Linked DNA regions of Notamacropus eugenii. The protein of the gene in region 4 interacts with the protein of the main gene of each other region in a pairwise test. Links are inferred from orthologs where the notes say so. Each region holds a gene or a part of one and is shown on either strand. Other genes may lie near its edges.

Region 1 (7,705 bases), on a different chromosome or scaffold from region 4:
TGGAAGGAACCCAGGTCTGAGACTCAGTAAGTCTGAGTCACTAACTTAGAATGTGACTTTGGAGAAGGCCTGCCCTTCCAGGTCTCAGTTTCTCCATACATAATGTGATTCTGTGTGATGATTGATTGCCCCAGGGAAACTTTGGACATCCCTGAGGTCCATGGATGCTTGCTGTGACCAGTGAGAGGGAAGGGACAGACAGACCAGCTGGACTTCCAAAGCTTTATTTACATGGCTAAAGTTTCTGGAGAGGGTGGGCCCCCACCCTACTGCACACCTGGGTGCAGGGACTGACTTCTGCTTCTCTTTCCATCCCCTCTCACTCACTTGGGCCCTTTGGAAAAGTGCAGCCAAGCAGAGCTGAGTCTGTGCAGGGGTCCTTGGGGCCACAGGCAGGGCAAGGAGCCAGGTTCTGAGGGGCTGGCATTGGCAAAGGAGTAAGAGATGGGCCTGGAATACATAGGACTGGGGTAGGAGTGAGGAGGCCTGGGAGATGGGCGGGTGAGTGGGCAGGCAAGTAGGCAAGCAGGAAGCTGCAGGCGGGCAAGCAGGCAGCTGCAGGCAGGCAAGCAGGAAGGTCTAGGATTCAGTCTCAAACATCTTCTTTCTGCCCTCCATTCCAGACTTTTCTTCAATGTTCTTCCTCCAGTCACCCACATCACGAAGGTCCCTTTCCTGGAGGTGATAACAGATGAGGCTCAGAGGCACTCTCCTCCTGCTGTCCCTAGCCCAGCCCAGCCACAGCGGGGGCTTTGACCTCAGCGATATCCTCTGGAGCAATATGCTCCTGAGAACCAAGAAAAAGCAGACCTATCTTGGGGGGACAGCAGTCAGCTAGACCTGGTCCCACTAGTGCCTTGGGTCTCCCTGGGCCTCCTCCTGGATTCTCCCTTCTCCCTCCCCCCAGATTCCTCAGGCTGACAGAGATAGGAGTACTTTACAAAGTTAGGGAGATGGGAGCTGGGAGCCATCTGGGAGGGATCAGACCTTGTGGGGAGCAAGATGCCCCCCTAGTATTCAGGGCCTAAAAGTGAGAGATCTAAGGGAGAGCCTGTGTAAGGTCTGTGGCGTGTCCCCTTCACCATCACCTTCCTCTGGCAGGGGTGAGGTACTTCCTAAAGCTTGGGAGCCTCAGGCTCAGCTGGTACCCAGAGCTGGTGCCCAGAGCTGGCCTGAGCTGGAGGCTGAGCCCCTTTCCCAGAGTTGGGAATGGTTATTCCTGGACAGCAGAAGTCATCTGGTCCCCAGGACCCCCAGCACACACGTGGCTTATGGCTCCAAGTCCCAGATCCACCACTTCTGTGGCTGTGGCTGTGGGCAAATGCCTCAACCCCTCTGTTTCCATTTCCTTGAGTGTGAAACAGGCCTAATCTCACCTACAGCCAGGAAAACTGTGCTTGGTCTGACACCAGTGCCATGGAGGGTGGGTGGGTGTGAGCAGCTCAAGGGAAGGAAGAGTGGGCAGTGGACCATGAGGGCTGAGGGAGGAGGGGGAGGAAGGAGGGAGAGGAGAATGGAGGGAGGAGGGAGGAGGGCTGAATGCTGGGGGGAGGGGCGCTCCCCTCCCCCTCTTACCTTCTCAGTGTCCTCTTTCTTCACTTGCTTCAGGTTGGCTCTCAGGTCCATACACACCTTGTGCTTGGAGCCCAGCAGGGCCTTCAGCATGGCATCGGCGGACATCCGCACCCTCCTCAGAGGAGGCCTCTTGAACTTGCCCCGAAGGTCAAAGAGTTTCTGGTTCATGTCTTCCAGCTGCAGGGAGGTAGGGGAAGGCCACGTCCCTCCCAACCCCAGACCTGGCTCCCTGAGGTTCTTCTTCCCGAAGGCTTCTCCCATCTGTACCCCCCCCAGGACAGAGTAGGGAAGGAGAAGGGGCAGGTCCAGGCACCCACCAGAGTTGGGCAGGAGCTAGCCTGAACAAGTGGGCCCAGGACCAACAGCAGGGGCTGGGGCAGGGCCCCCGGGCCTTCCACACACCTCCTTAGTGCTTTTCTGAACCTTCATTTCCATGTCATACTTCTCCTCTTCAGCTGCATCGACCTTGGCGTGGAGCTGCCGGCAGAGGTCCTGGGGGTGGGGGTTGGGAGGTCTGGGTCAATGGCTTTCAGCCCAGCCTGATGCCTGGGGCCAGGCTGGAGCTGTCCAGCATGGAGAAGAGAAGCCTTGCAAGGGCTTTAGGCAGGGGTAGCTGGATGCCCCCAGTTGCTGGGGATGGTGTGGAGGAGATACGGGAGGGCTGGACTGATGAATGGGATTCTGGGCACCTCTCATCCCTGTAGAGGTGACCCAGGAGGGGCACCTCGATTCTGTCCTGGAAGGTAGACCTACACAGGCTGGAGGTGGGGGCACTCACTAGGGAGGATGTGGTGGGGTTCTGGGGCCCAGAGCCAGGAAGGGAATCCCTGGGGTGTCCCGGTCCCCAATCCCATATCCTGGCAGTAAGCAAGCCACACCAGAGAGGGCAGAGGGCAGAGGACAACAGTCTGGTCCCTCTTACCTGCACTTCAGACATAGACCCTGGCAGGTGCAAGGGTGGGCAATGCTCAGACAGGTAGTTGGCCTTCTCAGATTCCCGGCGGGCCTCCTCTTTCTCCAGCTCAGTGGCAGCTATCTGGAGCATGACACTCTGGGAGGGGCAGACCCCAAGAAAGATGGGGAGACTGTGAGTGGGGCAGGGACCGCTGGAGGCTACCCCCAGGGCAGCAGGGCCCCTCACCCCTGACAGGCCCCAAAGGTCCCCCAGCCCTTTCAGGGTCCAGAACAGCCCATTTGGAAACTCAGCTACAGGCTACTCATGGAAGCATCATTGCCCCTCACTCATCCTTATTCTTTGGTCCTTCTTTTGGGGCCCTTTCATCTCTCCCTACCTCCAGGCTTCAGATATCCCCCCTCCCCAAGAGGAGCCCCTCAGGACCATACCTTCAGGTGCTGCCTGCGGGCCGTGATGGCTCGGTTCCTTTTCTGCAGAGGGCAGAGGGAAACAGGTTAGGCCTGTGTCCTGCCCACCTCCTTCCGTATTTCCCCAATCCAGCCTCTGCCAGGCAGACATAGGGCCTGCTTCTCTCCCATTTTGCAGAAAGGGAAAAGCTAGGTCCAGAGTCTTTTGCAGAATCTTCATGATAATCTCTGTCATGTCGAGAGGGTTTTTAGAGCTGTTACACCAGGGATGTCAAATACAGAGCCCAGGTCCCCGCTGAGGACCAGGCTAACGTGGGACTGGGAATATTTAACAAACTTAGTAAAACTTCAAGAACATATAAATAATATTATGGTGCAAATTCTTGCATCAGCGTGCAGCCCACAGGCACCCTGGACAGTTGTCTCCTTTTCCACTCGAGCTCGACACCAGACACCATTGCTTAACACCCTCAGAGTAACTATCCCCATTCTACAGATGAGGACGCCGAGGCAGATAGAGGTGAGGCAACTGGCCCAGTCAGGGTCACACGAGCTGGGAGGTGAACCCTGGGACTCTCTCAGCCCCAGAGGCAGATTTCCCCAAATAGCAGGAACCACAACAGAGGCCAAGTGCCAGCTCTGCCCTGCTCCCCCCAGCTGTGACCCTCAGCCTGTTTCCTCATCTGTGAATTAGGCCTCTGCCAGGTGAAGCCTTCTGGTTATAATTTGATATATTTTGTTACAGGTTTTGTTATAATTTTATATCATTATGGGGAGTGGGGTGGGGTGGGAGGCAGGGTAGTGGAGCCTAAACTGGCCTCCAGGCCCTGGCTCTTTCTCTGTCCCTCCCCTCCCCTCCCCTCTCTCTCTCCTTCCCCTCTTTTTCTTCCTCCCCTCTCCTTCCTCCCTCCCTTCCCCTCTCTCCTCCCCCTTCCTCCCCTCCCTTCTCTCCTCCCCCTTCCTCCCCTCCCTTCTCTCCTCCACCTTCCTCCCCTCCCTTCTCTCCTCCCCCTTCCTCCCCTCCCTTCTCTCCTCCCCCTTCCTCCCCTCCCTTCTCTCCTCCCCTTTCCTCCCCTCCCTTCTCTCCTCCCCCTTCCTCCCCTCCCTTCTCTCCTCCACCTTCCTCCCCTCCCTTCTCTCCTCCCCTTTCCTCCCCTCCCTTCTCTCCTCCCCCTTCCTCCCCTCCCTTCTCTCCTCCACCTTCCTCCCCTCCCTTCTCTCCTCCCCCCCCCTCCCTTGTCAGAAAGGGGGGGGAGCAGAGGATACATTGTAGCCATCTTGTTCTCTACACTCATGGGAAGGACCTTCTGAGGATGGGGGAAGGGTTTGGAAGTGCTCCTGGGAGAGCCTGGAGGTGTGGGTGTGAACCCCTGGGGGAGCAGGTGGAGGGAAGGAGGGGGGGCCTCTCTTTCTTCACTTCCCCTGTTCCCCGCCTTGACCTGACCACTTCCTCAGTTTCACCAGAGTAGCGTGTGTGTGTCTGTGTGTGTGTGTGTGCATAGTGTATAGGGGGAGGGAAAAGAGAGTTCAAGGAGGGTTGACCAGGGACCAGGCCTTGCTGTGTGTGGGGGGGGTGCCAGCAAGAGGGATAAGCCTGAGCCTGGGGGGCTGCAGGGATAGGAAAGGGGTGGGAGCCAGGTCAGAGCAGACTGGAATAGGGAAGGAAAGGAGCCAGAGATGGTAAGAGTCAATCAGGAATGAGCTGGGGGCATTTCTGGGGTTCAGGTGTGGGTGCCAGGCAAGTGAGTACAGGGAGAATCTGAGCCTCAGGCCCAGACACTTTTATGGGGAGTGGGGTCTGAGGGGGCAGCCCAGCGTCGATGCCCCCAGGAGTGGTCAAACCAGTGAGGAGTCTCTCCATTTAGGTCACATCCCCAAGTCCTGGACCTTGAACCGAGGAAGTCTGAGACTCCTTAAGGGTGGTAGACATAGGTGTAGGCATGGCCACAGGGCAGATTGCTGCCCCCCAGGCTCACACACACGCCTGTCTTCCCTTCTTTGGCATGAACCCACTGAGTCAGTGGGATCTTGGATTCATCCTCTAATTGCTCCAAATCAGTCCCTGTCCCTGGAGGACAGACAGACTAGGACAGAATGGGAGGTTTGGGGGATTCTTAGGCCAGCTTTTTCTGGGAAGGACTGACTTGGCCAGAGCATTTCAGATGGGGGAAGAGGGGAGAAAGAGAAGGCAGGAGAATCCCCCTGCCCCAGGGAGAGGAGATAAATGCTCTAAGCCCTGGAGATGGCGACTTTTGCTCTGCCCACATCCCCATCCCTCTCCTTGCCTCAGGGCTTATCCCCAAACCTCCAACCCCCCCTCCCCCCCCCAGCTGGTACTTACCTCTTCACTGGTCAGAGAGGGAGGAAAGGGAGGCAAGGAAAGAGAGAAGACAAGTTAGAGTCAGGCCTAGAGGATAAACGCTAGAAAATCAGGTAAGGCTGAACCGGGTGGGGAAGGGCAGTGTAAGGGATACTCACTCTCCCATATTGAGATCTTGATGTTAGAACCTGTGGAGAGAGGTAGATAAAAGGGAAATGAGGTCCCCTCCCCAACTAGAGGCCTTCCCCAAAAGGTTTGAGGGGTTCCTGGCACCCCCACCCAAGGGCCCTTTCCTCCCTGGTCAACCTGGTCTTGGAAAATGCCCAGGGGTCAGAGAAAGTGCTTCTAAAAATGGGATGATATTTGTGTGTTGGGGTGGGGAGTGGGGGGCTGGATTACAAATTGCTGCAGCAGCTGTTTCCTTGAGTGACTCCTTCTCCACTCAACTCAGGCTGCAGGGGGTGGGGGGCTGAGTCTTCACTAAGGGGACAGGCCAGCACAGGTGGCCTCTCAGACTAGAGGAGAGGAGATATTTATAGACCTGGCCCCCTTCAGCCCCTTGCTTCAGGGAGAAGAAAATGACTCCACCCTTCAGCCCATCTCCTGGTGTGGGGGTGGGGGCTCTGCTCAGGCCTTAGTAATGAGGAGTGACCATCCAGCCACTCCCCATCCCCAGCTTCTTCAGGAGGGAGATCTAGCCACCCAGAAAGTATTTCTCCAAATCAGGTCCAATGCTCATCTCCATCCTGAGCCTCTGGATACAACCAAAGGGATGTGGGGGTCCTGGGCTCCGCACCACCACCATGGAAGTCCCACAGTGAGTCAGCTAGAGCAAAGTGAGCCCTCCCACAGAGAACATGTTCCCAGCAGAGTGCCTCCACCTTGAATTTCACCTGCCTCCTCCCTGGAAGCCCTGCCCCAATCCTCAGAGACCCCAGCCCTCAGGGACCCCTGCCCTCAGAGGCTCACCTAGCTTCCCTGAAAAGTACCCAGCAGATGGTAAGAGGTCAGGACACGAGATGGAGTCCCAGCAGCTGGGCCTAGTGGGAGGGGGTATAAATGGGCGTCGAGGGCGGGGGCCCTAGCTCTGTAAGGGCATGGCAGCTTTCTCAGACCAATGAGGGACGGAGACTCAGAGACCTCCCTAGGGAGTCCTGGAGATGTGGGGGACGGGGGAGGGAGGCAGGAAAGGAGAGGATCCATCAAGGGAGAGGGAGGAGAGAGAGAAGGAAGAGAAGGGCTGGACAGGAGTAAATCTATTTAGGACTTTGTGACAAGCCCAAGATACCTTGGGCTTCTGAGGAGCTACCCTGGAATAGTGTCTGCTCAGCCCAGTCCCACTCAGACCTCCTTTCGGCTGCACAGAGCCAAGGGCCAGAGAGAGGCATGGCTCTGCCTTGGGCTCCACAGCAGTGTCTTGAAAGAAAAGGTACTGCCTACAGGTCATGAGGACAGTTCTGCCTCTGCAGGTCACCTCTGACCTCATCTGGGTGCCTCAAGGCAGCAAAATAATTTAGCCTTGTTTTTCCCATAGACCACCCTCCTCATGGGGCTACTGACAGTCAATGAGCCTTTATTAAGTACTTACTGTGTGCAAGGCACCATGATAAAGTGAAAGGCAAACACATGTTACCTTCCCTCAACGAGGTCATAATCTAATGGGGAAGACAACAGGTAAATAACTAGGTGCATTGCAAAACTACACAGAACATAGGTCATCTCCAGGGATGTGGGAGGGGCCTGAAAAGGCCTCCTGCTGGAGGTGGAAGTGAGGAGGGAGGGCATTCCAGGCATAGGAGACCGCCAATGCAAAGACTTGGAGTCAGGAGATGGAGTGTTGGCCAGTGGGGCTGGATCACAGGGTGGGTGGAGGGAAAAAGACTAGAAAGGTGGGAAGGGGGCTCATTGTGAAAGGCCTTAAACACTAGAGGAGTTTATATTTGATCCTGGATGTAATAGACTTGGAGAGGTGGGGCTTTAGAAGAAAATCACTTTGGCATCTGAGTAGAGGAATGATTGTGGGGGGAGAAACTTGAGACAGGTAGATCCCCCTCCCCCAACCCCTCTGACAGCTATTGCAATAATTCTGGAATGGGGGAATGAAGGTCTGTATCATGGTCAAGGCAGTGTAAGAGGAGAGAAGGGGATGTATATGACAGATGCTGCAGAGGTGAAATCAACCACAGGTGCTGCAGAGGTGAAATCAACCACAGGTGCTGCAGAGGTGAAGTCAACCAGAGGTGCTGCAGAGGTGAAATCGACCAGAGGTGCTGCAGAGGTGAAGTCGACCAGAGGTGCTGCAGAGGTGAAATCGACCAGAGGTGCTGCAGAGGTGAAATCTACAAGCCTTGGCACTATATTAGATCTGGGGCATGAGAGAGAGGGAGGCATCCAGGATGCCTCCTAGGTTGCAAGTCTGAGGGATTGAGATGATGGTGATGGCCCTGGCCAATAACTGAGAAGTTAGGAATGAGTGTGAGGGGGGCT
Region 2 (7,294 bases), on a different chromosome or scaffold from region 4:
GCTGGAATCTGAGGCCCATTCTGCCAAGGCAAAGAGGTTTCTGCCTGCCAAAAATATTTCCTATGGAGAGAAGGAATTGTCAATTCTCTCTGCTGGTTGTCCTTTGGCCTTAAGAGACAATATAACTCCCTTCTCCCAACACTCCAGCTCCCCTTACCCTCACACTAGGGGTCTCCCCTCAAGGGATCCCTAACTCTCAGTAGTTCAGTAATCTCAAAGGAGCAGAAAACTAAATGAGGAGCTTGGCTCTGTGTAGAAGTCACTGTAATTGGATCTGGGAGTAGAGTGGGAGATGAGTTGGAAGGAACATCTGCCTCCAGCTCTACTCTGGGCACAGGCCCCAGTCCCTCCCAGACAGAAATGGCAATTCAGCACAATCTTTCTGCTTCTGCTCAGTCCATTCCCCCCACCCCCAACTCCACCCCAGCTACAGCTTTTATATAATTGCAAGGGCTAGCCACCTAGTCAGGTTAAAGTTAAAGCCTTTTGATGAACTCATCCTCACCTCCTTGAACCCCCTCTCCTAGTTCCTCATTTCCACTTAGTTCCAGACTTCCTGAGCCCCTTTCCCTTTTTTCCAGTGCCCTTCCCCCATCTCTTTGGCCTAGCCAACCCCCTCCCCAAAGCTGTCCAGCCTGCATCCTTCATTCCCTGCTCCCTAAACTCCCTGGCTAGTCTTCCAATCTTCTTGATGATCCTTACTTTATACATTCTCCACCCATGCCCTCCTCCACCACAGGACAGCTGAGCCAAGAGGGTGAGGGGGCACTCACCAAGGGTCACAGCTGCAGACACAGACACAGGACCAGTTCGAATGGGAGCTTCAGACCTTCAGGCTGAACAGGTTGGGAGTTTGTGGTTGGAGCCGGTATGCTTAGAGTCTCCCCCAGGGGTCCAGTTGCTGTGGAGAGCTGAGCAGCTCTGACCTGAGAACCTGAGCTGGGCCGGTGTGGGAGTGGTGGAGGGGGGGGGGGGGTTATTAATAGAGATGATGAGTGAGAGCAGCTCAGATGGCATTGGGGAATACTGAGACCCTGGCCTAAGACCCCGCCCTCCAGGAGCAGAGAGGACACTCGGACTCAAGCAACTGAGCTGCCTGAGCTATATTCATGATGGATCTGAGCCCCATTTGTGCATCTCCCTCTCCCCTATTATCGCAGACAAAGACCTAAAAAGCATCCAGGACAAAGAAGCCCCTAGGGGTGAAGTGAAGGGGAAGGGAGAGAAGAGATATTTAAGTCTTATTATGGAGAAGAAGATAGGGAAGACATCAGTGGCTCCATCGGGGAGCTGAGGGGAAGTGGAGGAGAGGGGTGAGGTGTGCAGAGGGAACCTGGAAAGGTCAGTGAGAAAAAGAAAGGGGATTTCATTGTGACTGAAATCTGATGTTCTGAACACCCAGAAAGTACTTCTGGTTGGCAAGGGAGGAACAGGCCTCACCTTTAAGTAGATTCTTCTGTCCCAGGGGTCCCCTGAATGAACCTCAGACAGGCCACCAGGGCTTGTGGGGTCCAGCTCCTTCCACCCTCTTCTTTTACAACCTGTACCTTCTTTCTTTCTCCTGTCTAACCTCTGCTCCAGAGTTTCCAGTAGCTTTTTCAAGAGAGGGCAGGTGGATTCTTGGCCTCCAGCTCTTGTAAGCCAATGTTTGTTTTTGTGAGTCCTGAGTCTCGAGCTCAAAAGTTTTGGATGACAAAGTCCATGAAATACCTTCAGGTTCTCCAGCCCTGCCAGCTTTCTTTGGGTCTCCCCAGCTTTCAGGTTCTTTCACCGAACTTCCATTCTTCTTTTTTTTTTTTTTGCCTGGGACTCTTTATCTCACCCAGGGTAGAAGTGCCACAGCCTGTGGTGAGCTGACCCCACTGCAGACCAGGCTGGAAACTTTGATTTCAAGTTCTGACCTGGGTGGGTTCAGCCCTAGTGGCTCAGGGGAGCTCACCATCCTGGGTCCAGTTTAGCTTGGGCACTTTAGCCCCACTACCATTCAGAATTCCTGAGTTCAAGTGATTCACCAACCCTGGGAGCCACACTGCCCAGAAGCCCTGCCTGCCAAGACTTTTCAATCTTAAGACAGATGTCCATATTGTTATTGTTACTATCACCCTGATCCAGCTAATGATCTGATTTTAAGAACCCCTTTAAGAGAATTCTATTTGTATCCTCCTCAAACCCTGAACTTCACCTATACCTGCCCCAGCACTTATTACATGTGGATCTGGGATCTATCTCTCAACACTCCTTTTGTTCGTGTCCCTGACCCTTTCCTCACTGAGCTTTAGCTACTTTAGGGAATGGTTCCCTAAATCCCAGAACACCTCCCACCACCCTGAGGTCTGCATTTTTGGGGTGCTACCCAAATTGGCCTGGGTCCCTACTACTTGTTATTTACCTTCTGTCCTCATTCCTGCCCACTTACTCTGATTCAAAATAAGTTTTAAAAAAATCAGTAAATACTGGTTTCTGTGATTGATTAGAACCACCTGGTGAGATGGGAGCACCCATATGCTCTCCTGCCTAAACCTTAGGTTTCTATGGGAATTTTTACGATTCCTGTGGGGCTTTCATGGAGTCTTGGGCCGATTGGTGGCACAAGCATGCCCTCTACTGACAGGATAGGAAATGTGACACTCTCCCTTCCTAAAAACCGTCTGTCCCCCCTCCCCTACAAAAGTGGTGATTTTTTTCTTTATGGCCAGTCTTGGGCTTTCTTCACTATCACTGGCCCCATCCCAAGATTCTCAGTGACAAACAAGTATAGGGACAACAAACAGGACCTGTCGTCTCAAAGATCTCTCAGTTCTACCTAAAGAGCAGATTCTCTGCTGTGGAGCACTTGAGAGAAATGGAGAAAATGTATGTGTATGTAGATAAATATGTTTGCATGTATGTATATATGTATACGTGTGTTACTGGGAGATGATGGAGAAAAGCAAAAAAAGGTCCAAGCAGAATGAATAAGAAGAGGGACATGGGGGAGAATAGGGAAGAGGAGGTGGATGGATGGGGAAAGCAGAGAATGAACAGGAGCCAAGGGGAGCCGCAGAACAAGCAGAGAAGAGGATGTTGTGTAGAAACTGAGGACAAAGGCATGATTGAGAGGCGAGGTAACTAATAAGATGTAGGATACAGGTTTATTACTGTGCACAAATCAAAGTAGAGTGACTCACACCTGAGACATAAGGGAAACAACTTAAAAACCAAGCAGCAGAAGTGATTGGGGGAGGAGTGCATCCCATATTCTGCTCCCCTTGCTCTTAACCCCTCACCCCCACTCCTGGCTCAGCAATCAGGGTCTAAAGCCCAAAGCAGGGAAATGGGGACCTAAATTCTATGGGAATAGGAAGGGCTAGGAGACTGTGGTTCTAGATATTTTCCTGCCCCCACCTGGGTGCTCATAGTGCCAGAAGGAGGGATACAGACTGAAGGACAGACACAAAGGAAGCAGCACGGGCTCTGAGGGCCTTCTCCCCACTTATTGGAGGCAGCTAGGTGATACAATGGATAGAATGCTACACCTGGAGTCAGGATGACTCGAGTTCCAATTCAGCTCAGACACTTACTAGCTGTATGACCTGGGACAAGTCACTTAACTTCTATTCACCTCATTTTTCTCATCTTTAAAATGGGTATAATAATAGCACCTCCCTTCCAGGGTCCTTGTGAGGCTCAAATGAGATATTTGTAAAGCATTTAGCATAGTGCCTGACACACCTGACACATTGTAAGTGATATACAAATGTTAGCTATTATGATTATTGTACTTCACTGATATACACTCTACTGTCATCCCTCCCTGACTCTGCTCTAACAACTCCTGTCCCTAAAGTTCAGTCATACAACCCCTCTCCTGCACAGTCTGTCTTTACCCACTTTCATTCTGACAACACCCATTCTCACACCCCCACACTTTGCCTCACTCTGGCCTAGTCACTCCAGCTTCTCTTTTGCCCCCATTTTCTGTTCCAAGTGCCATGTTCTAAGACAGTAGCCCCTTAATGACTTAGATCCATGAGACTGAGAAGCCAATGATTCATCCCTCCTTAAAGGAAGTTTTCCATTCTTCACAACCCACTACTCAGGTTAACTTAGCATAGGCCTTTGGAGATTCCCACCCTCCTCCCATCCTAAGGAATCTGTCTTCATTCCAAACAAACTTAAGTCTGTCCTTTCATCATCCTCAAAGTTGCCCTGGTTCATCAGTTTCTCTACTCCCATACCCAACTCTTTACCCACCCTACCCCCCAGTAGCAAGAGTGGTTGACTGAGATCTAAGGAAGACTAGAAAAAGTTTTAGGGATTAGAAATCATCTCAACAGGAATTCCATTAAGATACCCCCATTTCCAAAAAATGTGTCTCTCAGTTTTGTGGGGTACTATACAGATCACCTGAGAGATAAGTGAATGATCTCTCAGCTTTTCTTTAACAGAAAGGCTTTTTTTCTATACATGACCTTAGCAGAGCTGTGGGTAGAGCCCAGGTTGGAACTCACCTCCCTATTCCTCCTTACCTTTGGTAAACACAAAGCACACGTGTCTAGGTGTGAGCCAGGTTTGGAGAAGAGGAGAAAGGAGAGGCCTAGAACACCTGCCAGGCAGCAGGTTCCTTCTCTCATCAGTTACCCAGGCCTAAGGCTACAAGAGCAGTGCCTTCTCTTTGCATTTGGGTTCAGTCAACTTACTACATGCAGGCCAACAGAGAAAAGCAAAGCATCAAAGGAGAGAAACAAAAATAGAGGGGCACAATAACAGAATGAATAGGGAGAAAAAGGCAGTGAGAGGAACAAAGACACACAAGTTGAGAAACAGACCAAAAAAGAGTCAAGAGATAGAGCAGAGAAAGCTGGACAGACAAAAAGTACCAGGAAAGGAAGGACTAAGCCTGCCCTGGCAGGGGAACTTTCTCCAGGTATCTAGAAAAGAGGGTTTGGGGTGGCAGAAATAACTCTGAGACCTTGCTAGGTACTCCATTTTCTGGCTCCCTTGGCTGTTCCCAATTCACTGATGGCCTGCTCCAGGTCTCCATACGTGTGCCTGCAATCCAGAGCTGGCAGCTGAGAACCGGGGTCTGGCCACCTGGAAGTTGCAGGAACCAGGGGAGGCCCCGAGAGCTCGAGGAGACTCTAGAGTTGGAGCTGGGCTAGGGGCATGAATTGGAGCTGGGGGTATTTCTACTCTCCAGATGGGCTCATCCAGTGAAGTGGCGGCTCTAGGAGTGAGCACAGTTGGGGCCAAGGGCTCAGAAGTGGGTTGGGGAGCTGGGGTAGAGAATCGACGTATCTCATGAACTCGAGCGGTCTTAGAAGACCCTGGGGGAATAGGGCTAGGGGTTGGAGGAATCTCATCAAAGCAGAACATGGCAGCTTTGAGTTGGTATGGCTGGTGCCTCATGAAGTCGATGGCTTTGATGCCTGGCTTTGTGGTTGTTCGGGGTCCCTGAGGCTGCGTTCGGCTGGGAAGGGTTCTGGCAGCCAGTGGGAAAAATGGAGAAAGCAGTGGATTGTAGGCAATGGGAGGTGGGGCGCGGATATTGGGGGAGTATTTCCATGAAGGAGGCAATGAAGGGGTAGGAGAGGGGCTTCGGGGTTGGGAGCTAAAGATTGTACTACGACCAGGACCAGGACCAGGTGTGGTTTCCACTACATACCTATCTACCCGGCTCTGCCTCTTTGCAAATAGCTCTCCACCTCGACCCTGTAGTCTAGGTGGTTCAGGGAGGACCCTTGTGGAGGGAACAGTCCCATTCACTAGACCATCAGGAAGACCCCGGGGTGCAGGCTTGGGTGCCACAGGGGGTGGGGTCTTAGGTGCCGCAGGAGGTGGGGTCTTAGGTGTCACAGGGGGTGGGGTCTTGAAACTTCGGCCACCTGTAGGCTGCATGAAGTTGCAGGCTTCAGCCCCTAGACTCAGGGCATCCTCTTCAGGACCAGACTCAGTCCCTCCTGGCCTAGGTTTCTCATCCAAGTTCTGTACCAATGACAGCAGCTCAGGGTTGGGTGAATTTTTTTTCTCTTCATTCCCCCCACGGAACATTTGTTTACGCCCTCCTCGGCGCCGTGCCTCCTGCAGGATGCCTGTGCGGGGAGCAGGCACAGATATTCTCTGCTCCCGGGTACTGGGAGCCTCAGGGGCAGCATTACTTGAATTGGATGTCATGGGGAGTCCAGTTGGCCTCAGGGGAGAAGACAGGAAGATGGAAGCAGTGGAGGTCATAGCAGCCGTGGGGTGAGAGGCCTGAGAGTCAGGGGGACCTCCAGGTGTAATGGACCTATTTGGGGCAGGAATATATAAGGAGGTGGTAGCTGTCACTGGGCCTGAGGAACATGAGGCATTGGTGGAGATGGAGAGTGGTATGTTACCAGGATCCTTTGGGGTGGAGAAGCTGGGGGTAAGGCTGGGACCTTGGGGTGGTGACAAGAATGGGGGAAGAACAGGACTGGGACTCCTGAGACTTTCATTTGCCTTCTTTGGGGCAAGGGGACGGAAAACAACGGAAGTGGTTACTGGGCGCTGCCCTTGGAATCCTGGAGTGAATGGTCTTGCTGAACGGTTGAAAATGCCTGTGGCTGGGAAAGGGGCTAAAGAAATGGGACTGGTAGCAGGGGGTGGCATTGGACTGGGGGGTAACAAGGCTACCTCTGGGGGGGTGCTCTGGGGCCGTGGGGGTGGAGGGCCCCTCCCATTCATCAGGGCTGGGGGGGTGTCATTAGGTTGTTCCAGGGAGCTAGAGGCTGCCCGCTGCCGTTGCTGCTCAAAAAGCCGTGCCCCTCTCCCTGAAGCTTCACTGAGGCCACCCCCTGGCCCTGGTCCTGGCCCTTCTGCTGTGCCTGAACCTGAGCGGGCCAGTTCCATGTCCAGATAGGGGCTATCCCAGTCTGGCTGGTTAGTGAGGCTTCGGGCATCTGAGAAGGTCTCCTCCTCCAGCTCAGACTCACTGGTCGGGGGGATGCCGTCTTCCTCCTCCTCCCCTCCTGCCCCTGATCCCTCTCCTGCTGCAGCCCCAAAGCTGACCAGGGTGTACTTCTTGGCCCGTTGCCTCCTCTTCTTAAACATAAGCACTCCCTTGGAGTGAGGATTGGGTGCAGCTGTCAGCAGGGATGCGATTGTCCGGCATTTGGTCTTGGCCTCTTTTATGTTCTTCTCTTGAACACTCTCTGTGCGCTGGAGTTCTGAAGGAAACGAAGGTATGAGAATGGTCAGTGGACCCTCCAAGAAGTCCTGTTCCCCACTGCAGACTGCTGAGCCCCGTGGGTTTTTCCTGCCTCAGTCAGCCTCCTCTTTTCTTTCCTCTCTGCCC
Region 3 (7,925 bases), on a different chromosome or scaffold from region 4:
AGGGTATAATTAAGGGATATTGAACAAAAATAAAGGGGCAGGGGAAGCATAAGAAAAGAAGATAAAATTTTGAAAGTTGTTTGTACATGTTTCCTCTGTAGTATAACAGGGTAGTGATTATATTTATTTTCCAAATAAACACACAAAATGCAAGTTATAATCAATCAGTGGTCAAGTCCTGATCAGGTCTTAACAATCAAGTGTTGGCAAGTGAGTGTGTCACACATTGTCGGGAAGTCCAGCACACGTCAGCAGGAATATCTGCAGGTAATGCCTTTTTACAATACACTATACTGTTACATGACAAAATACTGCATCATCAAAATTTCAATACAGGAAAAAAAACATAAAAATAATAAATTATTAAATTTAAGATGCATCATTTCAAAAAAAATTATATCCTATATTTTATTATATCTTATATCCTATATTTTTTTGAAATGATGCAAACATCAAAAACAAACAAACAAACAAACTCGTTAAAAGGTAAAAGAAAGTAGATTTCCAGGGTGGCATCGAGTAATTTTCTTTTTTTTTGAAAAGTTAGTGGTAGGACAAACAAGTTGGGGAACTTCTGCCCTAGTTGATCCAATACTTTTTCCAGTGTTTCCTCATGTTCTTCTAGAGTCTCCCCAAAGACAATACTGTCAACAAAAAGGACCTCCTCTGACCCTAACAGCTGTGCATTTTACCCTGATTTCTCTCCTGCATTCCAACCGCCTGTCAGACATCTTCACCTGGGAATTGTTTAGGCTTCTTGAAAACAGAACCCACCATCTTCACCACTTAGCTCACATCTCCTCCAAACTTCATATTCCAGAAGTTGAAAAGACTTAAATCCAGGACAATCCTGAAGGGGAAGAGGAAAAATAATGTGTGGCCTGAGCTGAGGAGTATGACCAGAAAGAGGGAAAGGGCAGTTTAACTTAGCCTGACCTTAGTGAATGGCAGACTCTTGTGTGGGTGGACGAATGGTCAGTCTTCCTTGGTAAACACTGGCTCCTTCAACATGCCCCATAACAACTAAGTCACGATTAAGATACAAACAGTGCCCTAAGAGTTAAAAAAAAATAAGGTTGCTTTTCTAGTACTTTGTGAAGCCCCTAGTTTATTCTGTAACCTGAAGGCACCCTAAAGTCCTTTTCCCAATTATCTTGAACCTGTACCAAAAGAATTGCTTTTGTCTCCCTTATTCTGTGTTCCTTGGGTCCTTTAATTTTTAACCCATATCCTCCTGCCCTGTCCTTAAATCCTTAAACCATAAAACTTCCCCCTTACCCATAAAATTTCCCCCATCTTCCTTACTCATCTTCCTGTCATCCATCTTCCTCATTATGTCCCTAATCTTCAACCCCCATAAAAATCTCTAAAACTACATCATCATTCTGAAATCTCTTCATAAGCATAACTTGAGGCCTGAATATTGAGACTTTACTTAGCCATCTTGCTAAGGAGCCCCGTGATGCTCTTTTCTTCTTTTTTTAATTTTTTAAAATTTTTCTTTTTTAATTATTTTACTTGTTTTCAGTGTTCTACAATCACTTCCATATATCTTAGATTTTTTCCCTTCCCTCTCCACTCCCTCCCCAAGACAGCATGCAATCTCATATAGGTTCTACACATACATTCCTATTAAATACATTTTCACCTTAGTCATGTTGCATAGAAGAATTAAAATGAAGGGGAGAAACCATAAAACAAAATATAACATAATACAAAAGAAAAAGGTTGGCTTCATTCTGTGATCCAATTCCATAGTTCTTTCTCTGGATGTTGAAGGCATTTTGCCTCAAGAACCCACTGGGAATTTTTTTAGGTCCTTCCATTGTTATGAAGGACTAAGTCTACCAGAAAAATTCCTCGCACACTGTGGTTGTTGCTGTGTACAATGATCTCCTGGTTCTGCTCCTTTCACTCAGCATCAGTTCATAAAAGTCTTTCCAGGCCTCTCTGAAGTCTTCCTGTTCATCATTTCTTACAGCACAATAGTATTCCATTACATTCATGTACCACAACTTGTTCAGCCATTCCTCAATTGATGGGCATCCTCTTGATTCCCAGTTTTTGCTCACCACAAAGAGAGTGGCTATAGATATTTTTGTACATGTAGGACCCTTTCCCATTTTTATGATCTCTTTGGGATACAGTCCTAGAAGCAATATTGCTGGGTCAAAGGGTATGCACATTTTTGTAGCCCTTTGGGCACAGTTTCAAATTGCTCTCCAGAATGGTTGGATGCGCTCGCAGCTCCACCAACAATGAATTAGTGTTCCAACTCTCCCACATATTCTCCAACATTTATCATCTTCCTGTTTTGCCATGTTAGTCAATCTGATAGATGTAATGTGGTACCTCAGTGTTGTTCTGATTTGCACTATGATGCTTTTTTCAAGTTAAAATAAAAAGTTCCTATTGGCTATAAGTGAAGGTCTAAGTGAATTCTTTCACACCTGAACCTGCTCTACCAACTCCAAACCTCCTCAATCCCTCCTTGTTAGGTGTCTGAGTAACCAAAGGCTTCGACCGAGGCTACTGCCCTAATTTGCTTCAGCCTTGGTGGCATGTTAGAGAAGAGTAAGGAGGAGAAAATGTGACTAATAAAGAGAAAAAGACATTGGGGGGCATTTGGTCCCCTAATTCAACCATCCATGACTATATAGGCATTAATAATTCTGCTCAAAGGCCCCAAGTGGATCCCTACTGATTCAAGGATAAAAATACCAATAGTTAATCTTGATTTATAAAACCCTTCAGAGCCTGGCTTCCACTACCTGTCCAGACTGACTTGTATTCCTTCCTTTCCCCTACTCTCTGCTCCAGTCAAGGAGGCACTATTCCATCTTCCATTTCCCTTCAAACCTTCCCTTCTTACCTGAGCTTCATACAATCTCTGGCTTCTTCTTGGTTCAGAGACCATCTCCTACAGGAAGTCTTTCCTGATTCTGCCAGTTGCCAGTACTTTCTCCCCCCAGAAGTTATCTTGTGTTTACCTATATGCTACTTTCTTCTTCCCACCCCAAGAGGAAGAAAAAGGAATAAGCATTTATATAAATTGGATGCCCTGCTAAGCACTTTTAAGAAATATCTCATTTAATCCTCACAACAATCCTGTGACGTAGGTGCTATTATTATTCCCATTTTACAGGTAAGGAAACTGAGGTTAAGTGACTTGCCTAGGGTCATATAGCTAATAAATGTCCAAGGTCAGATTTGAACTTGGGCCCTCCTGACTCTAGTCCCAGCCCCTCTATTCAGTCTCATATTAATTCTTGGAGGCTGGGATTGTTTTGGTTTTTTCCAGTGCTTAGTACACAGTAAGCATTTAATGAAACTGAATTGCCTAAATAAATAAATTGAATTGCCAAACCAGCAAGCCAATAAATAGTGTCTATGATAATAGTGTTCTAAGTGCTGAGGACACAAATAACAAAAAGAATGTTAGTGCCTGTGCTCTGGGAGCTTAAAATCTAAAGGAGGTAACACCCAAAAGACTGCAGGAAAGCCGGTAGAACACAGAAAGAAAGGGAGAGACACCAAAGGGTACCAGGGGCTGGGGCATCTTGTTCGTGGACTTGAAACCTGGCAGGGCAGCAGATACAGGTAGAGAGAACCGCCTTATTGAAGGGTCCCTTTCCATAGGTCATAGCATGTGAAGGTTAGTACTGTTTGGAAGGTTTAGAGTCACCCTGATAACTGTCTTCAGGTGTGGTGTCTGAAGTACTGATGCATTTCCTAGGAACTCGTCTTGCTTTATCTGTCCCCAGAAGGAAGATCTGGGGTGAAAGTCATCAAGTGCTGTCTAAGGGTGTAAGAGGCTGTGGATTCCGCTGTACCGTCAAGGATGTTGCCAGGAAAGTCCTTGCTCAATGGATCACGGATTCAAAGCTGGGAAAAGTCCCAGAAGCCACCTGCTCCAATCCTCTCATTATACTTTTGAGGAAACTGAGGCTCAGATGTGTTATGTAACTTGTTTGAAGCTGTGCAGGTAATAAAGGTGTTAGAGCTGGTAGCTGTACCCAGGCCCTCGATGTTCTTTCCACCCATCCACACTGGCCAGCTTCCGTGGGGGGGCTTCGAGACTCAGCTCAAACACCATCTTCTTCAGGAAGCTTTTCTCTGCCCTCCCAGCTATTTTGCATACAGGGCATCCCAAAAGCCTTGGTGCAAATTTTAAGCTTTTGAAAAAACCTTGACTAAGTTGTAAACAGCTATTTGCAAGTTGTCTTCCTTGTTAAAATGTGAGCTCGTGGGTGTAGAGCATCGTTTCAAAGAAACCTGAGAAGACTTACAGGAACTGATGCAAAACGAAGTGATCAGAACCAGGGAAACCACACGATAACAACAGCACCACAGTAGAATTCAACGGTGAAAGATTTAGGAATTATCGAAATGACCACTCACAATTCCAGAGCACTGCCTCATAATGAGAAAGATTACGCATCTGCACCGAAAGGCATCGGTCTCAGGGGACAAAGTTTGTTGTGTTTTTTAACCTGGCTAATGTGATCATTAGTTTTGCCTGACACGCATCTATCTGTAACTTGTGTTATGTTTTTCTTGCTTTCCCAGTGGGCTGGAGAGAAAAATTAGAAACTGAAAATAAAACAAAATGGAATTTTTAAAAAGTTACATGCCTGTAGATGGACTCTCTCCAAGCTACTCGATGGAGATGGGCGGGTCTCCTAGGTGATACTTAGTATCCTAGCCGGCCTCCAGGGCTGATATTTACAAAGCCGACCTCTCAGCTGAAATTTACAAAGCTGACATTTACAATCAAGTGGAGCTCAAGAGCTGATATTTACAACCAAGTATGAGCCCCTTCGCCTCCCACAACACACACTGGGCCAGGCGGACTGCCTGGACAATTAGCCGTTATCTAGCAGGGGAATCAAAGAACGGAGGGTCAGAGACTTCAAAGGAGCTTTGCGGACCGAAAGGCTCTCCAGGAAGGAGAACTGAGCGTCAGGGCTAAAAGGAGCCTGGGATTTCAACCCACGCTCGGTCGCAGGCAAAGGGCACGGCGTGCCCTCTGAGTGTGCGCCCCGACGCTATCAATAAAGTTTATTTTAATCGAAATCAGGTGGCGCCTCCGGCGGAAAGGGACACACGCGAGCTCCAATCCCAGGCTGTCTGGCTTTGGGGTCCCGCCCTTGCCCCGCCTCCCAGAGCGGGAAGGAGGGAAGCACGCGCACACCGCGCCCTCCCATTGGACGGTGTCGAGGTCAGGGGAGGGGCCGACCCGTCCCCTCGCTATGGCTCGCCGTTGTCATTAGACCGAGCCTCCGTCACCGGTAGAGGACACGGGCAAGATGGCGACGGGGCTAGTGCGAAGAGGGCTCACCGGCTGCGGCCAGCAGGTAGGCGCGACCCCGAAGAGAAGACACCCCTCCCACGCCGGCCCCGGCCCCTCCACCCCACTGACTTTCGTTCTCTCTCCCTGCCCGCCAGGTGTCCCGGTTGCTGCGGAGGCGCTTCCACCGCTCGGCGCCCGCGGCGCTGCAGGTACGGGGTAGGGCGGCAGGGGCCGCGGGGCGAGGGGGGGGGGGGGGGGGCGGAGAGGAGGGAGGCCGGGGCTGCGCCTGCGTATTAGACTCCTGCGTGGGGGTGGGGCGCCGTCTACTGGGCTGCAGTCCCGGACCTCTGCCCGACTGGGGGCGGGGCCGCCCGTGGAGGAGTGTAAGCCCGTTGAGGGCAGGCGTGTTTGCCTCCCGAGACGGCTAAGGATCCCTTCGTGCCCCGAGGTGCTTAATAAATGCTCCTTCCTTTCTCTCCACCCCCAAGGGGCCCCCCCAGAGTTAGCATCGCCCCCCGCAAGCGGCTCGAGCCTGTAGAAAATTGGAGAGTGTTGAAAACTAGCGAACACATATAGAAAGCCAGAAAACGTAACCCCAGGGTCCCCAGGCTTCCCTCTTGCACCCCCCTTTCCCCAAGGGAGCCTCAGCTTTACGAGGAAAGGCAGACCCCCGGTCACAGCCGTCCCCCATCGCCCACTTTTCTGGGCTAACTTGGCCATGGCCCTTTTCCAAATCCCCCTCCCCTGTTTCCGGTTCTTTAATCATATGTTCCACCAAAATAGGTTCTAATCAGTTTAATTTAATTAAAAGCAAACATTCTGCCCCGGATTCCCAGGGAAGGAGCCGGATAGGCCCGGGATGGACGACTTTGTCCCCACGCTCTGGCTGTAGCTTGGATTGTGTCTGCAGGGGGATGCGACCTTGGCTTGGCTTAGGGGCGGTTTGGGGTCGTTCCTGCGGTGACCTTGGCTCTCTGGGTTGGCCCACTCCCATTCTCCCGGACCGTCCTGGACTGGCAGGGGAGCCCTGGGAGGGGCCTGGGCCGCTTCGGACCGAGCGCCCTCCCGATGCCACAGGTGACCGTTCGAGATGCTTTGAATCAGGCCATGGACGAAGAGCTGGAACGGGACGAGAAGGTCTTCCTGCTCGGAGAGGAGGTTGCCCAGTACGATGGCGCCTACAAGGTAATGACCAAGGATTCGGGGTGCCCCCGGCGGGCCTGGCCGCCCCGCGGTAACCGGCTCTGCCTTCGTGTTCACTGCAGGTCAGCAGAGGCCTGTGGAAGAAGTACGGAGACAAGAGAATTATCGACACCCCCATATCCGAGGTAGGGCGCCCGCGGGACAGACCGTGGGGAGGCGGGAGTGTGGCTGGCCGAGGCCTGCCCTCCACACCGAGCTTTTGCTTTTCAGATGGGCTTTGCCGGGATTGCCGTAGGGGCAGCCATGGTAAGTAAGGCACATGGGTCATTTTCGGCTTGATCTTAAATTGTTTTAACGTAATGCAACAATGGTAGTTGATACTTTTTTCCTTTTCGTTAAGCTACTTAGTTATGTTGGGTTTTTTCCTAATTTAACAGGCAGGATTGAGGCCAATTTGTGAATTTATGACCTTCAATTTCTCTATGCAAGCAATCGACCAGGTTATAAACTCAGCTGCCAAGACTTACTATATGTCAGGTGGGCTTCAGTCGGTGCCCATTGTCTTCAGGGGACCGAATGGTGCTTCCGCTGGGGTGGCTGCCCAGCATTCCCAGTGTTTTGCAGCTTGGTATGGGCACTGTCCTGGATTAAAAGTGGTCAGTCCTTGGAGTGCAGAGGATTCAAAAGGCCTTATGAAATCAGCAATCCGGGATGACAATCCCGGTGAGTCCTTTTTTCCTTCTGATTTACAGAGAATCTTCCGTAGAATTTTATAGTTGGGGAAAACCTTAGAAATGAGAGTAAAACATGCCCATTTTAAAGGAACTGAACCTTTAGCTAGTTTTAATCAGATGACTTGAAGAGAGAAACTAGTTTTGTTTTTAAATCTTGATTTCTTCCTGTTTGAATGTGAATAATATCCTGACGTTCAGAGAAAACGTGTGTTTGCCCCTGTCCTGGCTTGTGATCCATAGCATCTCTGGATTTCTGACATGCTTTAATTTTAATAAGCAGAAGAGCCGGATTAGCTAAGATGAATGTAATATAGACAAGCCATTATTAAGCTTAGCTGTCTTTTAAAACTACAGCAGTTGAGATTTCCTCATATAAAACACAGCTTTTTTAAGGGAACTCTTCTAGAGGTTAATGTCATTGATTTATATTTAATCTACATGAGTAGTTAGTCATCCTTAACACTCCCCGATACTTGTTTAAAAAATAGCCTGAAACAGACTTGAAATCCCTCTGATCTTTTTGGACTTCACATTGACTTAGAAAACCTCAAATTAACATTCTGTGGGCTATATTTTTTATCTATTTTGTTAATTTCCCATACACATTTTATTTGAGCTCTGGCAGGGCTCCAGAGTTTTGCTGTCCCCCATGAGCTGGGCACTTCCCGCTTTCCCCCCTCCCTTGTGGCATCCTTCAGTTCTCCTAGGGAGGCGTTGGCCATGGGGTGGGGAGGAGAGGAGGCCCAGATGACTCC
Region 4 (6,851 bases):
AGGGAATATATCCCTACCCATTAACTCACCAGCTAGGTGGTATAGTAGATAGAGAATTGGACCTGGAGTCAAGAAGACCCAAGTTCAAAACCACCTCAGGTGCTTAGTAGCTGAGTAGTAAAACAACAAACCTTTTCCAAAACTACAGGCAGCGGGGCAGATGACAAGAAGACCTTGGTGGAGGACTTGCTTTGTTAGATGGAGCACAACCAGGCCTGAGGCTGGTTAGATACAGAGAGCTAGGGAAGTCTGCATTAATTCAGGAAGATTCAGCCCCAAAGTGGATGAGTATTCCAAAGCAGAGTGGGATAACTTCCTCAGGGACTAAGGGCATGGATCCTACAGGGAGCTGGTCCATATGGGGAGAAGTAAGGCAGCAGTGGTGGGGAGACAGATGACATGACAAGAAGAAAGTGGGAACCAGTGACAAATCAAAAAGTGCTGATCAGGAAGAAGGAAAGAAAAGAGACAAGGGATCACAGACTACCCAGAGACGTCAACCTTTTACATAATGAATACTTTTTTCAGGAATTTCTAGGAACTGGTCATGGCAAGTATTGAATAACCATCAAAAATTTAAAAAATGAAACTGATTCAACTTTGATGGACAGGAAAAAAAACTCACTATTGATGTCAAAGACATCCTAAAGCAGTTGTCAGACTACTGACTTGTTAGAGCAAAGATCAGAACGAGTAACCAGTCGGAGTAATAATGAGAAAAGAATACGGCATGAAATTGAAACAATTTAATCCTGAAGAATTTAAACTTGTGATTGATTGGCTGGGAAAAATGGGTAATGGATAGAAGGAATGACAGAAGATAATAATTTCATAGAGGTTTAATAGATGTAAATCAAATGGCATAAAAAGAACAAGAGAGTCTTAAAAACACTTTAATTGGCAAATCCTTGACTTTCCTGTCAAGTACAGGGAGATGGTGACCAAAGGCAACACTGATTAAAATAGAAATTCCTTTGTAAAACCTTACGGAGAAGGAGATGGATGATTACTGATAAATGTTTAACAGCTGGCTAAGAGGTAGGGGTGGGGCTGTACCCCAAGGCTGCCACACTTTTAAGTTTAATATACACTAGTAAACTTTTCTCCATCATTTTCTTAAGTCTAGACAATCAACAAAACAATATATCAAGCCTGGATTTTTTATAGTAGTTTACTGATTTCCGAAGTGTAAATGCTCATGCTAAAAAATTAAATTACTGGCTCTCCAGTATATACTTGGATTATGAATAGTATGAATCAGACAAACAGTGGAGGGTAAAATTAGTTTAAAGAAAGCTCAGCAACAGATCCAACTATAATTGGTCATCTCAGGGATGTTTAAAGCTCGGAGGAAAATAACATTCAGGAGAAAGTGGAAAAGATCTGAAAATATTGTTATTGTTCAGCTGTTTCATTCATTTCAGACTTGGTGATCCCATTCAGGTTTTCTTGGCAAAGATACTAGAGTGCTTTGCCACTTCTTTCTCCAGCTCATTTTACAGATGAGGAAACCAAGGCAAACAGGGTGAAGTGACTTGCTCAGTCACACAGCTAGTAAGTGTCTTAGGCCAGATTTGAACTCACCAAGATGAGTCTTCTTGATTTCAGGCACTGTGCTCTATGCACTAGCTGCCCTAGTTTTCATATATAACAACCATCAAAGTGCGGGATAGCACTCCAAGGATGGCTCAAGAGTGTTTCTTGACAGGTTGTCTGATTTCATCCATGAATAAAAAGAAGTTCTGGCTCTCAGGACAGTGACTTTTTTTATATTTAATTTTTATTTTTTCTCAATTACATGTAAACATTTTAAATAGTTTTTTAAATTTGAGTTTCAATTTCTTTCCTTTCCTCCCTTCCTTGAGAAGAAAGCAATTTGATACATGTTCAGTCATGCAAAACATTTCCATATTAGCCATGTTGCCAAAGAAAATGAAGACCAAACAAAAAAACCCCAACAAGAATAATAAAGTAAAAAGGTATGCTTCAATCTGCATTCAGACTTCATCAGTCTTTCTCTGGAGATAGAGAGCATTTTTCATCCTAAGTCTTTCAGAATATGACAGTAACCTGCACAGAAAGGGATCTTGAGGGCTAAATGTTTCTTAGAGCAATTTAATCTATCTCCCTTGGGCAGGTATCAGTCAATCAATCAACATTTATTAAAAAGCTTACAAGATGCCAGGCATTGTGCTAAACTTTAGAGTCTACATGTAAAAAGCAAAACAATCTTTGGGGGAAGCCAAAATAGGAGCTGGCCTGATTTATACAAGGTAGAGAGGAGACAGGCTAAACACACAAAAAAGCAAATAAGAAATGACCCCCGTATCCTTTGACTGAATACCTTTTGGGGTCTGTTATTGGTCTGGAGGGCTGAATGATTGCCTTCTTACACCTTACTTTCACCTACTTACTTTTTGATCCAGTGACACAGTTTCCATGCTATGCCTCCTACAAGATGCCCCATCCCCTGACCACACTTCCCCTGATTTTCCCCCCATGCCTGATTTTCTCCCTCCTCATTTCCACCTCCTTTCTTCCCTGGCTTCCTTCAAGTCTCAGCTAAAATCCTACCTTCTTCTGCAGAAACCTTTCTTGGTCCCCCCTTAACCTAGGTAGGGCCTTCCCTCTGAAATCACCTCCAACTTTACCCTAAATTTTATTTTCACATAACAGAGCTAGCCTTTGTATAGCGATTTAAGGTTTGCAAGCATTTCACAGGGATGTCTCTGTTTGCATGTCATCTGCCCCTGAGACTATAAACTCCTTGAGGGCAAAGACTGAGGTTGCCCTTCTTTGTGGTTTGCAGAGGTTAATTAGCACAGGGCCTAGCACACAGTAAGAGCTTAATTAATAAATGTTGCTAACTTGACTCCGTGGCGATCTGTTCGATCTGGGTAAGGAATGACTTACTGTTGCTGGTCATTGGCTAATGGATTGACTATTGGCTCCCATGCAGCTGAAGCTTTAAATCTACTGGTTAATAGAAGGGCTGTCGGTTCTATCGATTTCGGACGATCGGCTGCTGGCTGTCTGCCGGCCCTTGTGAGCACTGTTAAAATCGCATCTTCTCCGAGAAGCCTTTTCTGATCCCTCTTCAGAGGGGATCCTCTGAAGGCCCCCCCTCAGCTGATCATCCACCATCATCCTGTCTGTATCCCCAGGTGGTCCCTGACTTGGATGGGGGGCTCCTTGAGAGCAGACCTCCTTTTTGATTTTCTTTGTATGCCCACCACCTAGCACAGTGCCCGGCACATCGTGGGCACAAGGGGCTGTGGGAGGCGGGGGCGGAGCATGGTGCCCCACACGCAGTAGGCGCTTTGTAAATGCTAAGTGCCAGCCTGGCACGTGGTAGGCGCTCAGGTAGTTGGCTGATGTGCCTTCCAGACCCACGCCGGGTGCGGAGCGGGGCCTACACTCCCAGGCGCGCCCACGAGTCCAGGAGTTCGGACCAGGAGGGGCGCCCAGGCAGGGTCAGCCCAGCCGCCCTGCGGCAATGCCGAGGGTCCCTCCGGGGCCCCTCAGCCCGGAGAACAATGAGGTCCCTGCTTCTTTAAGGGAGATACCAACGCGCCGCCGGGGGGAGGGGCGGGGGCAGGGGAACGCACCCTGCTCCTAGCCCAGGCCTTGGGCCCAGAGTGCGGGGGAACATGGCACAGTGACAAGAGGGGCTCTCCTCCCGGAGGGGCGGATGCCGGTTCTGCCCGGCCCGGGACGTGCCTTCCCCCGGGGCCGCCTCCTCCCCAGCCCCGCAGGCGTCCGCACCCCACCACAGAGGAAAATGCAAAAAGCATCTGACAGGGGCGAACGCAGCCAAGAAGCCGGCCGCAGGTGGGTGCCCGGGGGGGACCGGAGAGCCGGCGCAGCCCTGGGCTCTGCGACAGGCCGGAGCCCAACCCGCTGCAGAGCTGGGCGAGCCCGGGGCCAGCTGTCCTCCCGGGACGCTTCGCTGGGCTCCGGATGCTGGCGGGAAACCGCCTCCGTGCAGAGGAGGCGACGAGCCTCGAGGGTATCCTCCCTCTCCGACCCAGGCCCAGCCACCCCTGTGGGGAAGGGCGCGAGTGGTGCGTTCCTCAGCGCGTGCACAACGTCGGTCTCCGGGTTGCGAGGCCCAGCTGGAAGCCGGAGCCTCGCGCCGGCGGAGTGCAGCTGCCGTGAGGGCTCTTAGGATCCAAGAGGAAACCGGGAGGCGGGGACAGGGCGCCGGGCGCGCGCCTGACCAATAAGGAGAGCCGCTAGGAAAGCGCTCGCCCAATGAGGGAAGGCGCTCGTGCGGCCGAAGCGGGAGGTTGGGGCGGGGGGGAGGTTGGGCCCTAGATCGGGGAAAGGGGGTGTGTCCGCACGCGGGGGCGCGCGCCGGCCTCGGACTGGCTGCGGCGGCGGCGCGAGGAGCCCGATAATGGCGGCCTGCAGAGCCCGGGAGAAGGAGAGGCGGCGGCGGCGACCCTGAGGTAAAGAAGCCGTCCGGACCGTGCAGGCAGCCCTTGCCTTCCGCCTCCCAGGCCCGCCCACCTGGGTGGACCGTGGGCGCCCTGGGGCCTGGGTCGCGGCCCGGCCCCCCTCGGGCGGCCCGTTGCCGGGGTCCCGGCCGCCTGAGGGGTGCGAGGGCCCCGGCTCTCCCCCGCCCCCCCTCCTGACCTGACAGCCGGGCGACCTCGGGCCGGAGAGCGCAGGGCCGCCCCCTTCCCCCTCCCGCGCGGAAGCAGCCCAGTCCGAGAGGCCCGCGTGACCTTGGGCCTCAGTTTCCCTCTCTGTTCAAGAAGGGGGGCGGCGGTCGCACTCGGCGGTCGGTCAGGCCCCTCCCCATCTCCTAACTCAGCTCCGAGTTCCGAGGGTCCTCCCTGCGCCGACATCCCCGGATCGGAGGCCCCAGCTGGCTCCGGCATTCAGTGCCCCGCTGTTTCTCCCGCAGTCCCCGCGGATGCGCCGGGACCCCCGAGTGCCCCTCCTGTCACTGGAGTTGCACGGAGCGGGAGCGGGGGGAAGGACCGGGTGCGCTGGCCAATGAGCGAGGCCGCGGGCGGCGGAGTGCGGAAGCGGTGTCCGGAGCCGGGCAGGTGCCTGTCCGCCCGCCCGGCGGGAGCGCCGCGAGCCCGGCAGGAGCCCCGGGAAGTTAGGGCGCCTGGGTGCGGGCGTGCACCCCGCCTGCCCCTCCCTGGGGGGTCGCGGCTGAATGTCCGCATCCGGGCTCTCCATCCACCTGGTTTCCGACTTGTTTGTGCAGAGTTGTTTGTGTGTTGTCTTCCCCCGTAGGCTGTGAGCTCCTGGAGGGCAGCTGCTGTCTTTTGCCTTTCTTTGTATTCCCAGTACTTGTTAGCACACAGCAGGCGCTTAATAAATGTTTGTTTGACTTGATTATGATCAGATAAAGGAATTTCACAGTTAATCAACATGGGTGTTTTAGGATGTGGTTGATAGCACATAGTAGGAGCTTAATAAATGTTTTGACAACTAACTGAATACATTTTATAGCCACTGCATTTTCTATTTTACTTCATTAAGCGAGGACTGATATTTTAATTACTTATTATAATTTTTTTTATTGATACTATTAAGGGCCCAGAATTCACTAACAGCTCAACATTCTCAGGGGCATGGCATGGAATCTTCTTCACAGCAACCCAAATAATTTGTATATATTTATTATAATATTTAACATTAATAAAATTAATATCAATAAACAGTATATTTACATAGCACATTATAGTTAATTTGTTAGCACATAGAAGGTGCTTAATTAATGCTTGACTTGAATTGGCTTGATTATGATCAGGTAAAGGAATTTCAGAGTTAATCACCATTTTAGGTTGTGGTCATAGCACATAGTAGGTGCTTAATTCAGTCAGTAGGACTGACTGAAAGCATTTTATAACCACTGGTTTTTTTTCTATTTTATCCCGGGAAGTGAGGATTAATAATATAGCATTTTGCCGTTAACTGTGTTCTTTAGCACTGAGGAAGAGATGCTATGTAATAAAGTGTTTGGGCATTTTGTAATTCATTATTGCAAAAATGTTAACACTCCGTGCTCTCCGTGTTTTGTGCTACAGTTACCTTTTGTAGAAATAAAGTTGTTGTGCTCTCACTGATAATAACAGGGTGTAGTGGAAATAGTCTTAGAAGACTTCAAGTTCAGATTCTGGTGGCTTCGCTTGTACTATCCAGTCTCCCTGAAGAAGTTACTTTGACTTTTTGGAATCTCAGTTTCTTCATCTTTAAAATGAAGAATTGGACTAAGGTCCTTTCCAACCCTAAATCCTGCGATCCCGGGTAGTCACGTAAACATGACTCTAAATCTGTGTCAAGAAGAAAAAACTGAAGAACAGTGAGGGGAAGGGAAGGGACTTGCCAGGTGGTTTGTGGCCCAGCAGGAATTGCAACCCATCCCTTCTAAAGCCAAAGCCAGGGTTTTTTTCTTGACTGTGGGTAATAGGTTAACATTTGACATGACTATACCAGCACACAAAAGGTTTGGGATTGCTTAACATGTTTAACATTTTCAAAGGAATAGAGAAGCAAGTCCCAAGTGGATTTCTAGGTAATCCAGGAAGAGGAGTAGAAACTGTGTAGTATGAGAAGAAAATCCCATATCAGGTTACTTTGAGGCTAACCTAGAAAGGAAAAATAGGAATTCAAGGACTTATGGAAGATCAGATTGGTATGGGAAGAGTTAAATTCTGGGACCTGAATTCTGTTCTCAATGATCTCCAACTTCTTCCTTGATCTTTTCTACGTTCATGTTTTATGCACATCCAGGGACTGACTGTTCATTGCTCTATAGGATTATCATAAGATCGTAGAATTAGAAAGAGGACCTTAGAGGCCATTCATGTTCAAATCCCTCATTTTAC

Evidence for each region.
Region 1: the proteins of TRIM63 (region 4) and TNNI2 interact in a two-hybrid assay, tested with the Homo sapiens proteins (2 studies listed by BioGRID and IntAct). The link is inferred for Notamacropus eugenii from reciprocal best matches to the Homo sapiens genes TRIM63 and TNNI2.
Region 2: the proteins of TRIM63 (region 4) and MYOZ1 interact in a two-hybrid assay, tested with the Homo sapiens proteins (2 studies listed by BioGRID and IntAct). The link is inferred for Notamacropus eugenii from reciprocal best matches to the Homo sapiens genes TRIM63 and MYOZ1.
Region 3: the proteins of TRIM63 (region 4) and PDHB interact in a two-hybrid assay, tested with the Homo sapiens proteins (2 studies listed by BioGRID). The link is inferred for Notamacropus eugenii from reciprocal best matches to the Homo sapiens genes TRIM63 and PDHB.

Annotation. Positions count from the first base shown.
Region 1 is NC_092873.1:25,972,501-25,980,205, forward strand, and holds TNNI2 (troponin I, fast skeletal muscle), read right to left. Parts: upstream 3,004-7,705; 5' UTR 2,920-3,003; intron 2,627-2,919; 5' UTR 2,621-2,626; coding exon 2,498-2,620; intron 2,068-2,497; coding exon 1,978-2,067; intron 1,753-1,977; coding exon 1,576-1,752; intron 676-1,575; coding exon 580-675; 3' UTR 209-579; downstream 1-208. UniProt on the Homo sapiens protein: Troponin I is the inhibitory subunit of troponin, the thin filament regulatory complex which confers calcium-sensitivity to striated muscle actomyosin ATPase activity.
Region 2 is NC_092872.1:236,700,726-236,708,019, reverse strand, and holds the start of MYOZ1 (myozenin-1), read right to left. Parts: upstream 3,010-7,294; 5' UTR 774-3,009; intron 269-773; exon of another isoform or gene 158-268; intron 1-157. Other genes in the region: SYNPO2L (synaptopodin 2-like protein), read right to left, coding at 4,996-7,166. UniProt on the Homo sapiens protein: Myozenins may serve as intracellular binding proteins involved in linking Z-disk proteins such as alpha-actinin, gamma-filamin, TCAP/telethonin, LDB3/ZASP and localizing calcineurin signaling to the sarcomere.
Region 3 is NC_092874.1:466,872,145-466,880,069, forward strand, and holds the start of PDHB (pyruvate dehydrogenase E1 component subunit beta, mitochondrial), read left to right. Parts: upstream 1-4,908; 5' UTR 4,909-5,309; coding exon 5,310-5,357; intron 5,358-5,448; coding exon 5,449-5,502; intron 5,503-5,619; exon of another isoform or gene 5,620-5,741; intron 5,742-6,203; exon of another isoform or gene 6,204-6,361; coding exon of another isoform or gene 6,362-6,370; coding exon 6,371-6,478; intron 6,479-6,558; coding exon 6,559-6,621; intron 6,622-6,706; coding exon 6,707-6,742; intron 6,743-6,873; coding exon 6,874-7,159; intron 7,160-7,925. UniProt on the Homo sapiens protein: The pyruvate dehydrogenase complex catalyzes the overall conversion of pyruvate to acetyl-CoA and CO(2), and thereby links the glycolytic pathway to the tricarboxylic cycle.
Region 4 is NC_092876.1:67,065,214-67,072,064, forward strand, and holds the start of TRIM63 (E3 ubiquitin-protein ligase TRIM63), read right to left. Parts: upstream 3,003-6,851; 5' UTR 2,914-3,002; intron 1-2,913. UniProt on the Homo sapiens protein: E3 ubiquitin ligase. Mediates the ubiquitination and subsequent proteasomal degradation of CKM, GMEB1 and HIBADH.